2 linked regions of the Lonchura striata genome follow. The protein of the gene in region 1 purifies or fractionates together with the protein of each later gene. This does not show direct contact. Links are inferred from orthologs where the notes say so. Each region holds a gene or a part of one and is shown on either strand. Other genes may lie near its edges.

Region 1 (7,956 bases):
GCCAAGACCTGGAAACGCGCTCTGCTGACGGCGGGAGAGGGGTCGGCTAGCCGGAGGCGGGCAGAGCGCGGCAGGATTGCTCCATTTCCTCGGGAATATCCGGATGCATTTAAGGCCACATCTACAAACTACACGCCCTGGAGCCCTGCAGCCCCGTCACCGCAGCCGCCGCGCCGGCCCCGCGGCTCGGCGTTTCCCGGCGGCCCCGCCCGCGCCCCCGCGCCCCGCGTACCTTCCGCGTGGCAGCTGGCGGAGCGGAGCGCGCCGTGCGGCCGGAACAGGTACGGGAGGTACCGCGAGAAGCATTTCATCTTCCGCGCCGGACCGCGCTCGGACACGGACCCCGCACCGACAGCGGCGGGGAGAGCGGCAGCGCCGGCCCGCGCGGAGCTGTCCGGCCCCGCTGCTGCCGCAGCGGAGCGGAGCGCCCCGGCTCGCCCGGCCCGGCCCGGCCCCGCCGCATCGGGTGCGGCACGGCCGGCAGCGCTGACGAAGCCCGTCCCGCCCGCCAGCAGCCGCCCGGCGCCCCGCGGCCGGCCCCGCAGGGATCCGCAGGGCCCCGGGCCGCCCCGGGCCGCCCCGCTCCGCCGCAGCCCCCGCGGCCGCCGGGAGCCGCCGCCGGGGCCGCGCAGGGCGCGTCGCACCGGGGCCGCATCCCGGGACCAGCGGGACCGGAGGGACGGACGCGTGTCCTGGCACTGCCGCACCCCGGAGCCGAGCGAGCCGCCCCGCACCGCCGCAGCCTCGAGGAGGTGTCGCCTCTAAAGTTCGCGCTAACCCGTTTTCTACAGTAGACTCCTAATAGCCAATCTATCAGAATAAGGCAAGGTCTCTAAAACCTGTTTGCTTTAGACAGTACTGAAATGTGGTTCAAAGCACTGTGATATGACAGTGGCAGTCAGTAACGTCATGTACTTCACATTTAACACTGAAATCAGTGTTTGAGCAGCTGAAAGATGTCTCAGGCCTCCCATCTATGCACAAGAGAGCTCGTTCATTCCCACAGTTGCTTTAGTTAAAGGATCCATTACTCCCCTGGTTTCATCGGGACAAGTACCACAGACTGTGACACCATACTCCAAGTCAAAGCAAGGAACAAAGAAAGAACAAAATGAGGTAGTTTATGTAGATTTGTTTGTGCAGCTTCTGTGTGGACAGGAGCAGACAATTACCACAAAATTAATGGCAGAATTATTGTTGGCAACATTTGAAATATAATTTCAAAGCCAGAATGACAGTCCATCCTGCTGAAGGAGGTAGGCTCTACTACATTCAAAGAGCATTGTAATAAAAGTAACATCTCTTCTCACCTGACCATGCACAGCTGTGTGCTTCATAGTCACTAAAGAAATCACATTCTGCAAGTTCAGGATGCTTGGATATTAGCAAGAGTTCTGAAGGTCAAAAATGTGTTGCAAAGACTAGAGTAATAGTGGCAACTTATGGATAAACTTCTGATGAAGGTGAGGCATCTGTAATACCATATTTATGGCTTAATTCATGTACACACATTACTACCTATACACGTGTACACTCACACGCCAACGCAAACCAGCACAAGAACCAAAGCCCATCCCACATGTAACACTTGTGTGAGCTTCCTCCTCAGTCATGGTCATGCTGTTTGTGCCTGTTCAGATTGAATGCACCAATGGCATGGCCTTTTAATTACTAGTTTTACTGAATGCAGCTTTTAAGTATTATTCATTAGCCTTTACTGTTCTGTGAGGCCAGATTACCGCAAGAAAAAATCGCAGGGCTCCTTTCCTGCCATCATGCCTCTAGGTTCATCCACTAAGTCTCCAGTGGTAAAAAAATAAAGCTTACAGCCCTCAGCTGGTAAGTGGTTACATTAACAAAAGAATAGAGAGTGAGAGATGCAACCTAATATTTCATTAATCCTAAAGTAGCAAACAAGTACTCCTGAGCAGTTACAATGATCTGCAGATTCTACAGTAAAAGCTCAAAACACTTGTAAATAATTTTAAAACCAAAACAACAAAACAAAACATCAGTAAAAAATATTTTGGCTTTAATCACTATATTGCTGTTTTCCTCTAGGGATTTAATAAATTATTAGATATTCTTCAGAGTGATGTGCCCCAATGTAATCTCTAGAGATTACAGACTGAAACCCTCTTCTGCAAAAGCAGCATAACAGAACTGCCACTGAAGCAGGACAGGTGACAGTGCTCGAGGCAGAGCCTCATTCCCACCAGGAGAAGTCAGAGCTCTGCTCTCAGGGGCTTGGGCTGACACAGTCCCCTTAGTCTCACAAGACTGTGCTTTTAAAAAGGTCATCACATTTCATGGACCGCAAAAAAATATAAGGAGAATGTCTAATAGTCCATCTCAGTTCCAGAACTGATTCTGGTAAAGGTTATAGTGGGAGAAGCTGTCTCATTATTCCCTGAAAAGCTCTAAATAACAGCTGAAAACCAAAAGAAAATCTATTTCAAAGGCTATTGCTATGATTAAGCTATAATGCCCTCAAATGAATTCTTGGATCAATAGCTAATTTAAGAGGCCCATCTCTTTCAGATGCACAAGTACATAACGAGGGCAGAAACCGAGGAGCATGGCTTAGCTCTGTCCCAGCAGCTCCCAACAACACGCAAAAGACCTCCCTGCACACCAGCTAGGCAAGATGTATGCGACAAGTTATCTTTGGTCACAGCAACAAAAAGAAAAATAAACTTACATTCTGCCACCCCAGCATCTATAGCTCCTTTTACTTGACTGAAGCACCACAGCACATCCTGCATGAGGCTTCCAAATCCTGCCAGGAAAACACATTCAGAAAGAAGATACAATCACATTGGTACATAGCTTGTCCTTTTTTAAATGAATGCACATGCACACACAAGGTGCAATCTCTGCATGAAGATAAACAGCTGCTCACCTGGTGTCATAGTTCCATGCAAAGCGCAGAGCTAGCACTGCAGAGCCAAGAGCAGCATGCCTGCCTTATGAATCACCCTCTGTTCTCTCCGTGCCATGGCAGGGCTGTTGGGAAGTGGAGCCATCAGAGTCAGTCCCCTCCACATCACTGGCAGCAGCACAGAAGTCAGGAGGCCCTGAAGTCATGGTCTTTGTCACAGCCTCCCTCTGTCAGAATACTAATGCTCCCAGTCATTTCCTGCACAGTTAAAGAAGGAGTAAAACAGGAAAAAAGAACTGCTCCTACTACCACAAGAAGTTATTTTTTCACATTTGTGGTCAGTGTAGTTCTGAACTGCTTGGCAATGAACCCAAGCAGCATGGAGCTGCTTTACAATACATTATAACACTTTCCTCAAAATCTGCCTGCAATCACAATTGCCTTATAGCTGCTTTAAAAGACTACTACAGACATTTCTACTTAAAGACATATTATTAAGCTGTAGTGCTTTCAACTGTGTTTGCTGCTGCAGCAATACTCTGTGTTAAGACTCTGAGAGAAATTAGGATTTCATCTACCAATGCCCCTTGTTTCCTTGACAGCTGAGCAGAATTTCCCTTTGTGTGACACAGTTTTCAGTATTCCACAAAAAAATCCACTGCCTCAAAGGACAACTTTTTTCCTTTCATCCTACACACATTTTATCTCAAAGAATTTCCAGGCATGAAGAAAGCAGGGAAATGAAGCCACAAGGAACAGTCAATTTCATCTCATTTGTTTCACACACAGGTGAAATGTGTAACAGAAAATGTAGGCATTTCACAATTGGCAAGTGTGATACTGGGCTCAGTCTGGGGTCTTGCTACAGAGACACAGACTTGTTACTTCTCTACGAAAGAAAAGGAAAACACAGGTTGGGAGACTATGTCCAGTAGGGCATATGACCAAGCAATATGGGATATGCTGTAGCCTAACTGGATGTCTTTGTGAGATCTCTGTCTGATTTTACTTATGTTTTTTGTATTAATACAGGTATGTATCAAAATAATGTATTAACCTGGAATACATAATAGGTACAAAGTCAAGAGTGAGCTTTATTGGGTTATTCAAGGCGAATACAAGGAAAAGATAGAACTTTAAGGGTATGAAAGGGGGAGGGTGAGGATTAAACTCTGCATCTAGGCAATGAGGAGATGACCATTTTCCAGAGGCTCTGTGGTGCTTCCTGCAGCTTGGGCAGCAGCTTTGATAAGAGTGACAGTGAGTCTAATATCTGGGCAGTTTGCAGGGCTCTGTCTCACATCTTCACTCTCATAAACATTGCTGATCAATGTATTTTTTGCCCATCAGTCTCTGGCAGGATTTGTTCCTATTCTCACCACTGTGGTTCTCACACTGACACCGGGAATGGTTTATTCCTGCTTTGCACTGGAAGTGCTGGCAGTAGCAGACAGGATTTCTTAGCCCTTGGTACTGCTGGACTTCCAGAGCACAAACACTGCACTGTTGCAGACACCAGGCTGGGAAAATCCTGTAGTAACTGAGCCTTCTTTTCATATGATGGAGATGGATATTTAAAGAAAGTTGTTCTGGTTTTTAAGGTTTATTGCTAACTTAATTTGTGAAATTTCTCTCTGGACATTCAGACCTCCCCTGTAATTTTTGGAGTTTTTCTCTTGGTACACCAGTTCTTGCTTTAAGGATGGAAATTCACTAATGAAGTACATGTCTATGATATTGATGTATAGGAAAATCTTGCCTGCAAGCTTGGCCTCTCTCTTGCCAACATGCACACTAAAAGCCTTTTCATTCTAAGAATTTGAAGAAATCTTTTAAAAATCAGATATGCCTGGGGAAAGGCTGCACATGGATATTGATTAGCTTTATCTGTACTGCATCCAGCCCTGGGACTGAACCAGTCCAAATGCTGGGGAAGAGCATCTGTTTGAGGTGCACACAAGAAGCCTGGAATGCTGATGGGAGTGAACAATGGACACAGGGATCCTGTCCCAGTGGGAGAGATTTTGATACATACTAGTGAAAAGAAGCAGGAGGAACGCTTCTACATCCAGCCACCTATTGACACCTTGTGTGACAACGAACCAGTGTTAACTAATGAGTTCCATTTCTCTGCAATGAGAGCTGTTAGCCACTATTAACAACCCAGCTTGCTGGAGGAGAGCTGTCACTTTGGATTCTGAAGTCCTGTCCTGCCTTAAATTCTAGTGACCCCTAGCTGAGGAATCCTAGCGCTTCACATCCTGCAGCCAGGAAAAGACATTCCTCTGTGTTCTCTGAAATGGAGCTCAGACTCTACAGAAATCTTGCTGGGATTGGTGTGTTTAAAAATGCAGGTTCTGGGACACTGTGGTTTACATTGTGAAAAGGATGTTCAAGCTATTTGCAGAAGCAGCCGCCTCACAGCATGTGTCAGAGTGGGTGCAGATGCCATAATCTGTGCTGAGTCAGGGGCCAGGAAAACTGTGAACGAGATAAGGCACCAGGGACAGATCTGCCCATCCAGAAAACACTTAATCCCTGATCATGGGACAGCCCCTGCTGCAGGAGGGGAGCCCTGGGTGGTCCACACCCCTGCACAGCCTGCAGTGAGTTTTAACCTTGATTAAGTATGTATACCAATTCCTACACTTTGGCACTGGCAACTGCCTGCAAAGCTTACAAGACAATTCTCATTCAGTAGGAGCTGTGGGCAGTGTGCGAAGGTGAGCCCACTTTAATCACAGGAGATGCCAGCAATGGGTATTGAAATCTAGCACATTACAAGCATACCATAATGTTAATGTCTACTGGAAGATTACAGCTGAGTTATGGCTGCTCAATTTAATTTAATTTCTTTAATACTTATGGTTCCAGAAAATGCATAGAATAAGTATAGCAAAACTTCTCTGTTTTTTAAGCCATTGAAAAAAATTAGTTTGATAGTTGAACCAAAAGTATAGGTAGCTGAATAGTTAAAACTGTAAAGGTGAATAAAACTTATAAAAATTATATTTTAATTCAGTGGCAGCCATTAGGGGCTTTGCCCCCTCTGACCTTTGCAGACCCCAGGGGTTTTTCTGGCGTGCCCAGGCTGGGGTAGTGGTGGGGTTTATGTGCTGGAGGAGTGTATGGGTTGGTGGCAGGAACCTCTTGGAGGAGAGGGATAAGCCGTGCCTCCTCTCCATTAGAAGGCACCAGAGATCCACCACGGCGCTCCCATTCCTCAAGCCAGGAAAGCTGGCAGTGGCTGTTGTGCATGACGGGTGACAGAGAGAACACTTCACTCCCCTGAGTTTCTTTTAGTACGAGTGAAAAAATTCCCCAGCATGGGACATGTCTCCTCTTTCTGAGCTGACACAGTAGAAAAGCTCTATTCCTTGAGAAAACTGGGGGATATGTTTCACTGATTTTCTTCCTAAGTGTGCTGTCTTTTTATTGCAGACCAAAGCCTCAGCTCTGGGACACGAAGCTCTCTGTTTCCCATGGAAAATTAATCCTCCTGCTGCACCAAGCAGAATGCGCTTTCCCATTGCCCATGGGGAACAGAGTTGCCTGTTTCAGAGGAGCTGTTGCAGATCTGCCTTCTGTCATTTGCTGTTTCTTTGGCCTACTCAATAATTAGACTTTAATATTTCATTTCTGTTGACATACAAGATTCTGAAACTCTCCAGATAACCCACTGTACAGAACAACTCTGGACTACTACTTTTTTTAATATTTCCACTACTGATTCTACTAGTTTTACTGGGTTTGTCCTGGATTATAGCTTTTGCTGTAAATAAAATCAGAATAATACTGTTTAGAAAAAAAATTCTAATTTCTTATGATAAAAATTTTCAAGCTTCATGTAAGTCGCTCATGTGAAAAGTCAAATAGAAGTGATTCTTCATCCAGCAAATTTTAGTCTATTCAGGAAAAGCTGCTTCAGACAGAGAGAAAACCACAGGTGGATACTCTAAAAGGTAGAGTTTGGTCTTGGGCTGGGAAGGAAATCTTGAGCATCTCCTGATTTTAGAGCTGTAGACAAATCACTAACAATTCCCTGCAACTTGAACACCTTACCCTACCCACCACAGATGGTTTACTTTAAACCACTTTGTTACTTGGTTTCTGTGTGGTAACTGCTGGATCCCCATCCTTGCTGTAAGGCTGTGCAGGTCATTTCCCAGGACAGGAGCTGGTGTCCCGACGTGGAGCTCACCTGCCCCCAGAGCCCTTGTATGTGTCCTCACCTCAGAGCTGGGTTTGAGGACAGATGTCCCCTGGCCCAAACCAGCTCTGCAGGAACCCAGCCTCTTTCTCCCTCTGCAGTCCATGGGTCTGTATTTCAGACGATCTGAATTGCTTTAGATAGTTTAGGAGAGACTCAGCTGTGTTTCAGCTTATTGGTTATTCTCTAAGTAGTACATGAAATGGCTAAAATTGGGTAAGTGCTCTGACTTCTGCCTGTCCTGGGGCAAGGACTGCTCTTCCTTAGAGCCCTGGGAGTATAAACCTTCCCTGGCATTCAGGAATGAGAGGAGAAAAGCCAGTGTCCGAGAGTATGGACAATGGGGTGGGAAATGTGGTGTCTCTCTTCTTATGGATCCTTTCAGGGGAATGCGGACGGGCAGCGTGACCCCGGCCATACCGAGACCTGAGTGACCGAGGCTCCGACGGGACCGCCCTCTGCCAGCTGCACCCCGAGGCGGGTGCGGGGCTGGATGCACCCGGGCACCGAAGGCGGAGCCCGCATACCCCTTCCAAAAAAACGGAGGGCAAGGCACGAGGCTTACAGGAGAGAAAGGATAACCCCGCAGCAAGGGGCGGCAGAGGGGTTCGGGCGGTGGGGCCATCAGAGGGAGTGTCGTTCCCGGCCGCAGGGCGGGGACAGGGACACGGACACGGACACGGACACGGACACCTTCCTGGCGGCGCGGCGGCGTGTCCGCGGCGCGGCCCCACGCGAGTGTCGCTCAGGTGCCGCAGGCTCCTCCCGCCGCCACCGGGGGCCCGGCCCGGCCGGTTCCTCGGCTCCGTCGCCCCCGGCTCCTCTCCTCCGCAGGCTGGTGCCGCCCGCGCCGACGGCTGCTCGG
Region 2 (7,271 bases), on another chromosome or scaffold:
CAGAAAAAGGACAAATAAAGACATTAAGGCATACTCAAGATTAATCCATTAATCGGTCTATCAGTGTCTTCTGTGAAGTCCAAAATAATCCACTTTAACACAAATGCAAATAGCTTGTGCAGAAAGAAATTAAATTGAGTTTGCAATAGCATCACTGACTACCAAAGACAATGACATCGCTTTCTGGTTATCACAGAACAACAGGTAATATTCACATTTTTCCAGAAGAAAATCAAGAAATCTAAGTTTCTTTTCCCCTAAGGAAAAAAAAAATGCATTTAGGTTATGAATTACTTACACTTCTCTGAAAAACTGCTCCTTGTGATGCAGTGCCATTTCACTTGCACTGTCTTTCAAGTCTTACTCTTATTCCCTACCAACATGTAATATTTCCTTGACAAATAACTTAGAACTAAATACAAATATACTAAAAAATTAAATTAAAATCAAATACTTAAATCAAAGCTTACTACATGAAGATTAAAATAAATTCACAAAATTCGCGCATTTATTCACAGGTAGAAATTAACTTCCTATTTGAATGATGTGCTTTTTTCACCTCAAATGAATCCTAAAACACATCCTATGAATCTCAGTATCTACAGTTTTCTGGATAAAGCCTCAAAATTTATGGTTTGGAGCTTGCATCTCACTTCCCTCAATCCAAACTCACTTTGTTGGTGCTTTAAAATCATCTCTCTCTATAAAATCAGATATTTTATTCAGTTCAATCTCCATGTCTAGGCTGGACTTCATTGCAGAAACAACCATGGCATCACGGAGTTTACTGCCTTGATCCAAGAGAGCTGGGAAACAAGCAGAAGGATTACATTTCAGCATTCAAATGTATTTTAAGAGCAATGTGTAGACATAATCAATGTGTCAGCTACGGTCAAGAAACTTGTTTTCTGCTGTTAAAAAAAGATCTTGACTCACTGGGGATTAAATATGTTTTATACACCAGAAAACAGCTCAGCTGGGAGCGAGGGAGAATGATCCTCCATCAGTCTCCCACTCCACTGCACAGGGAATTTCTCTGCACACACAGGGTCAGGTATTGGAAAGGCATTATTAGGATACAGAAGCAGTACTAATTTAGGGAAGAGAAGTTTGCCACTTCAAGATGTCTAATTTTTGTTCTTTTCTGCGAATATGGAACTCAAAAGACAGCACATATGGAAACATGCCCTACTCCAAAGCTTATTTCAGTCCAGCCCAGGCAACAGCAAGTTTTAAGACAAGGCCTTTTTGGTATAATGCAGCAAGAGGGTGTGAAGTCTGTCTTTCCCTTCAGAAAACCTCATCTCCATACAGGCAGACAAAAGAGCATCAAGAGCTGTTTGCAGTGAAATCTAAAATGTGAAGCCAGCTGCACACAAACCTGACAGCAGGTCTTTTGTAGCGGCGTTGTGCATGGAGAGCACCCGTGTGCTCCTCCTGGGAAGCGCTTCAGGATCAGTGCTGCTGGGAAACGACAGGGGCTGACTCGCAGGATTCATTTTCAAGTGTTCATCTGGTAAAATCACACCGTGACAAGAAGCAGAAAAGGTGTTCTTCATGTTTTCAGAATTCTTTTGGTAGAGCAAACCGTCCCTTCCTCTAGGGAAAAACAGTGACAACTCAGGAAGGTGGGTAAAGGGATTCAGAGCTCTGCAAATTCTCCCTTCAGGACATGCTCCAACAGGAAACATGACATGTTATTTTAATGATTCCTCACCTGCCACTGAGACCATCAGAGAGACCAACCCAAGCTGCAAGTAGAAGATTTTTTTTAAAAAAAAGATCTTTTTTACAAGAGCATCTTGTGACAGGACAAGGGGGAACAGATTCTCACTGCCAGAGGGTAAGTTTAGATTAGATATCAGGAGAAAGTGATTTGCTGGAGCACGGTGAGACTCTGGCACAGGTTACCGAGAGAGGCCGTGCCTGCTTCATCCATGTCCAAGGCCAGGCTGGATGGGGCTTGGAGCAGCCTGGGATAGTGGAAAGTGTTCTGGCAGCAGGGCTGAAATGAGATGAGCCTTAAGATCCCTTCCACCCAAATTATTTTGTGATTTGATGATTTGAGGCACCTCTTTTGTGAACTTGCATGACTTGAACTAAGTCAACCTAAGAAGCAAATTTCTTATCAGACAAGAAATTGTCCCTGTCACCTTGGAAATCTCCACATCCTGGATTTAATATAAGATGTATGTTTGAAAACATCAAGCATCCCATAACTCACAAGTGTACTGCCATACCTAAAAATCCTGTGTGAACTGCAAAATAAACCACAGTTTTGTCATGAGAAAAACAAAAAAAACAAACGGATACCTAGGAGATGTGGCTTTGCTGTTGTCAACCCAGTCCTGTTCAACAGTCACCTGTGTGTGCCTGGGCTGCTGGGATGGAGCAGGAAGCTGGGACTTGCTGCTTCCCTGGGCAGCAGCAGCAACTGAACCTCCTTGTGTGGTCAGCACACAGCTGCTAGTATCATACAGCTCTGGCAGAGGTTCTAGAATCAGTGAGACCTGGAAGACAAGAATGTGAAAATATTACTTTGTTCTCTTCCTAACTTAAGTGCAGTAAACACTGCATTAAACTTCACTTGTTGTGCAATGGAAAACTGCTGCTTTTCTACATAAAGTAATATTTACATTACGCAGCTATGTCACATATTTACAACTACTTCTTTCTTGTTCCATGTTTTCAGACCCAGTCAACTGCCTTTCATAATCAATTTTCCAGAGCCAGGGCTGCAAGACAGAATTTTCTTAATTCCAGATGTCAAATCTTCTATTATCAGCCCAGTGAAGTGTAAGAACCAAATATCCATTTAAAATCCACTGTTAACACTCACTCTTGGTGACAGAGATGACCACATGCTCCTCACTAAGCTCAACTACCCCACATCCCTTGGAACAAAATAAAGTCAATATCAGCAGTATTTGTTTTTTTTTATTTGTTACCTAAGCTCAGAAATGCCCTTGACAGAGAGCAAAGCTGCAGTGTGCCATATACAGCTTGACCCTGCACCTGATTATACCAGTGTCACAGCACATAATTTATGATAATGAGCAAAGACATCAAGACTACCTGCAGCTCTCCGAGTTTACCCGATGTTGGTGACACCACAGGAAAAGACCCTTTGATGGGATGGCTGGGAGAGAGCTGGGACAGCTTAGTGATCTGTGCTCTGCCAAGGAGAAGGTGGTCAAGTTTGGTTAGAACCTCCAGGACCAGAACGCCCATATCTGCAAAAATCAGGAACATCTTCAAGTCAGTCTCATGGTCACAACTGACACTTTTTGGCTAAAATGACAGCAACGCCAGAGATTAACATTATGTCCTACAAGGAAATTACGATAACAGGGCAGCAGGTGAAGAAGCGTCAATACAGACATTATTACTGGTACTAAATGATGATGAACGAGTACAGGATTACCAGGAAAGGAACAGGACACAGGGAAATGCTTACCGCTGTTCGAGGGTAACCCCCTGGGCAGCCTACCCACCCTGCCCGTGAAGAAACTTCTCTCGACGGCCGACCCCAACCTGCCCCGGCACACCTTAACGCTGCGTCCTCTCGTCCTACCCCAACCTAACGCGGTCCCGAAGCGTAGCGTCCCTACCTGCCAGGTAGGCGGCGAGCTGCCGGGGTCCGCAGCGCACGGTGAAGCGGGCGCTGGTTCTCCCCGCGGGCTGCCCGGCCCGGCAGGCGGGCTGCAGTACGGTGCCGCCGGACGTCTCCCCCCACCACCGTAGGCGCACCACGGCGGGCGGCTGCGGGGCCGCCCAGAACACGCGGGGCACGCTGCAGCGCAGGAAGCAGCGCGCCGGGCCCTGCACCAGCGGCGGCAGGCTGATGGCGGCGGCGGGCTCGCCGGCACCTGCGGGGACAGGCGACATCAGCGGTCCGTACATCGTCCCGAGCCTCCGTGCCGCTTCCCGTCCCACAGCTGCACGCTTCTCTCCCCGCTGTATCCCCCCAAGCCCCGCTCCGCCGCTCTGTCCCTCTCCGCACCTCCCCTCCGCCGCATCCCGCCCGCGCCTCCCGCCCGGCAACGGCCGCCGCGGCGGGGGACTACAGCTCCCGTCCTGCCCCGCGCCCCGCCGGGCAGAGCGGGGGCGCGGACTACGTTTCCCGCGGTGCCACGCGGGCGGGTGCGCTTAGTGCCGCGTGGCGGCGCTGTTGGGGGAGCCGCTTCCGGCGAGGCGAGGCGGGGCGGAGGGGGCGGCGCGGGGGTCCCGGTGTTCCCGGTGCGTCCCTAGCTGTCATGTCTGCCCTGGAGAAGCAGCTGCATCTGGGCCGCCTCCCACCTCGGCCCCCGTTGCCCGGAGGCGGCGGCCATTCCGGGTCGAAGATGCGCATGGGGTAGGCGGAGGAAGGGCAGGGGCGGATGCCGAGATCGGGGGGGAGTCTGGGGGGAGAGGTTACCGCGGAGCGGAGGCTCTGCAGGGAGGTGGGGCTCGTGTTGGGGGTCTGGAGGGACGGGTGGTCTTTGCTGGGGGGATCTACAAGGAAGGGAGGTACGTTATTCCGGGGTCTGGACGGAGGGGAATCACTATCGGAGGATTTGGGAAGAGGGGAGCTCGTCCTGGGCGATCGGGACAGGGAATGGCCATTATCTGGAGATCTGGGAGGAGGGGAGTTCGTCCTGAGGAATTGGGCACAGGGAATTATCGGGGGGTCTGGACAGGGGGAAGCTCATCCTGGAAGATCGGCAAAGGAATGTCGATTACCAGGAGATCCGGCCAGTGGGGAGCTCGTCCTGGGGGATCGGCACAGGGAATGGCCATTATCACGAGACATACACAGAGAAGAGCTCGTCCTGGGGAATCGGGACGGGGAATGGTCACTACTGGGGGATCTGGAGCGAGGGGGGGTCATTCTTAGGGGTCTGGAGGGAGGGTTGGTCCTGCTTCCCAGTGCTCCAGGAGAGTGACACCTGGATCAGGCTTCTCCAGCTGCAAAGGTATCAGTGCCCAAAGTATCCTTAGGCTGGGGGAAGGTGGCAGGGGCTGGGATCAACTCTCCAGCCCTTTTCTCCTAGTCCTTTTGCCATCAGTGTTTGGAGGAAGGGTCAAGCACCATGTCTGGGTGGTACCTCAGAGTGTGACTGCGGGGAGAGGTGTGTGGAAATTCTCAGGAGCTGAATTCCTAAGCTGGAGTTGGACTTTGATAATGCTTGTGGTGGGTCCCTTTCCGAGTCAGAATATTCCATGATTCTGTGAAACAGAATTTCTCAGCTCCGGGCACCTATGTGAAGTAGGTGTGCTCTGCCAAGTGACGTTAATCCCTGCTTAAATCTGCATTTTGAGATGATGGAAAAGTCTGGAATACTCTTTAATCTTTTAAGCAGGGTTTGAGAGTACATTTTAGGAGCTGTGGGAGAAGTTTGACCAGTGTCTAAGGCTGTAACAAGTGTTAATTTATATAATTCTTCCTCTCTTACCATGAATTGGAGGGGTTTTAAACTCTCTCTGGGAAATTATTATGAATGAAACAAAATCCAGTGTTGCGGTTAAGGATCAAGAATTCCCCTGGAATTCTTCCCTTGGAAGCAGTGGGGAGTAGTTCATAATCATGTTGTGGTTAGATTTACTGCTCTACCACCCAGTAAATCCCTTTACAGGTCATGTTCCTGTTGTGGGAGGTGCTGCACATCCAACATGGAATTACCTCATCCAGAGGGGCTTGGGGCTTCTGTGAAAAGGACACAAGAGGAAGTGGGATAGAAAGTTTAACTTAAGCTGAGCTTATCCTTATCAAAGTTCAGTTCAGTATAAACAGGTGCAAGATTCCCCCTGAAGAGAATTCCACTAAAAGAGAACGGAATTAGTTGTACAGGGAAAATAGTGTGATTTACAGTGCTGGCAGATATACAGGGCTGCACTGAAATAGTTCATCAAAATTCAAAGGTTACAGGGAACAAAAAGAACTAAACTTAGGAAAATATTTATTTGCTTTATTAAGCATCTCACATTTATAAATGTAATTTATTCCTGCACTTTCAATTTCTTGAATTGCAAGCCAGGCTTTTAAAAAAATGCGTTTAACCTTAATATCCAAGAATGCCAGCAACTTGATTTTTCTGTGGCTAAATCCTCTGACTGGTGTGCTGGGCACTTTCTTTTAATTCCCTTTTTTTCCACCATGCAGGTCATCTTAATGTGACTGTGGTGTAGCTGAAAGCAGATCTTGAGAAGCAGAGGGCCAAGCATGTGAGATTGCTGCAGAAAAATAGAATTTACTGAGAACTTCTTAACCAAAATAAAGTCTTACATTTTTTGGCAATATGCTGTTAAAAGGTTAATGTGTGTTTCAGTAGTTCATAAAAAATGGCACCTTTAAGTATGTGAAAATAAACTTATTTCTAACTTTTTCTTTTAAAATTATTATTTTCTTGCTCATTTTTCAGTACAATCACTTCCTTATGTCTCTCTGTGGGAGAGTCTCATTTGAGAAGTCAAACTGTCCGAAGCAAATAGAATCATGGAATTGCTCAGGTTGGAAAAGCCCTCTAAGATCTTGGAGTCCAGCCATTCCCCCAGCACTGCCGAGGCCACCACTATCCCAACATCCCCAAGTGCCCTATCCACACAGCTTTCTGTCCCTGCAGGGATGGGGATCTGTGCAGCTGTGCTAGGGTTGGACAGCCCTTTTCAGGAAGGAATTCTCCCTGATACCAAACATGGCTCCTGCAATGTAGTCTGGAGTGGGTTTTGCGGGAGCATGGGATGTGTGCTAGAATTTCATTCTATTTCACAGCACGTGGCATTGATTCCTGCTTTGCTAGCACAATCCTCTTCTCCCTGGATTTAAGTGCTCTCCAGCAGAAATGATGGTTGCAAAGGCCCTTCCCAAAGGAAGCTGGAGCTTCTCTTCAGCTCAAGCAGTTGGTGAAACTCAGCCACTGGGAGGAATTCCATGTCCATTTCTTTAAGGAGCACCAAGGCTGTGTTGGGAATTGCCTGCGTGTTGCAAGTGATTCTTTCCAATTGCTCAACTGATGAAAATCAAAATCAAAATCACAAAATAAAACAAAACCAGGCTTATGGCCTGATTCTGTGTTCTGTGGGGAAATAAAATAATAGAATTTGTAAAGTCACTGGTGGAGCAAGAGGCCCCACGGCAGCAGATCCCAACAGCTGTAGCAGCTTCTGCATTTCCTGTCTTGTTTTTTGCCTTTTGTTTTTGGCTAGTGGCTCAGAGTTAAGCAGCTAGATGGGATTTAAAAGTGAAAGTCAGTTTGCTGAACCTTTCCAATGTGTGAGTAAAAGTCATCTAC

What was found. Proteins that work in one complex are often made in the same cells at the same time.
Region 2: the proteins of PPP2R2B (region 1) and PPME1 purify together in Homo sapiens (affinity purification with mass spectrometry; 3 studies listed by BioGRID and IntAct, with this or other methods). This does not show direct contact. The link is inferred for Lonchura striata from reciprocal best matches to the Homo sapiens genes PPP2R2B and PPME1.

Annotation. Positions count from the first base shown.
Region 1 is NC_134617.1:362,399-370,354, reverse strand, and holds the start of PPP2R2B (serine/threonine-protein phosphatase 2A 55 kDa regulatory subunit B beta isoform), read right to left. Parts: upstream 3,039-7,956; 5' UTR 2,913-3,038; coding exon 2,903-2,912; intron 2,780-2,902; coding exon 2,702-2,779; intron 1-2,701. UniProt on the Homo sapiens protein: The B regulatory subunit might modulate substrate selectivity and catalytic activity, and might also direct the localization of the catalytic enzyme to a particular subcellular compartment.
Region 2 is NC_134604.1:19,315,921-19,323,191, reverse strand, and holds the start of PPME1 (protein phosphatase methylesterase 1), read left to right. Parts: upstream 1-4,182; 5' UTR 4,183-4,256; coding exon 4,257-4,354; intron 4,355-7,271. Other genes in the region: C2CD3 (C2 domain-containing protein 3), read right to left, coding at 674-806, 1,382-1,599, 2,314-2,510, 3,076-3,233, 3,612-3,869, 4,004-4,019. UniProt on the Homo sapiens protein: Demethylates proteins that have been reversibly carboxymethylated. Demethylates PPP2CB (in vitro) and PPP2CA. Binding to PPP2CA displaces the manganese ion and inactivates the enzyme.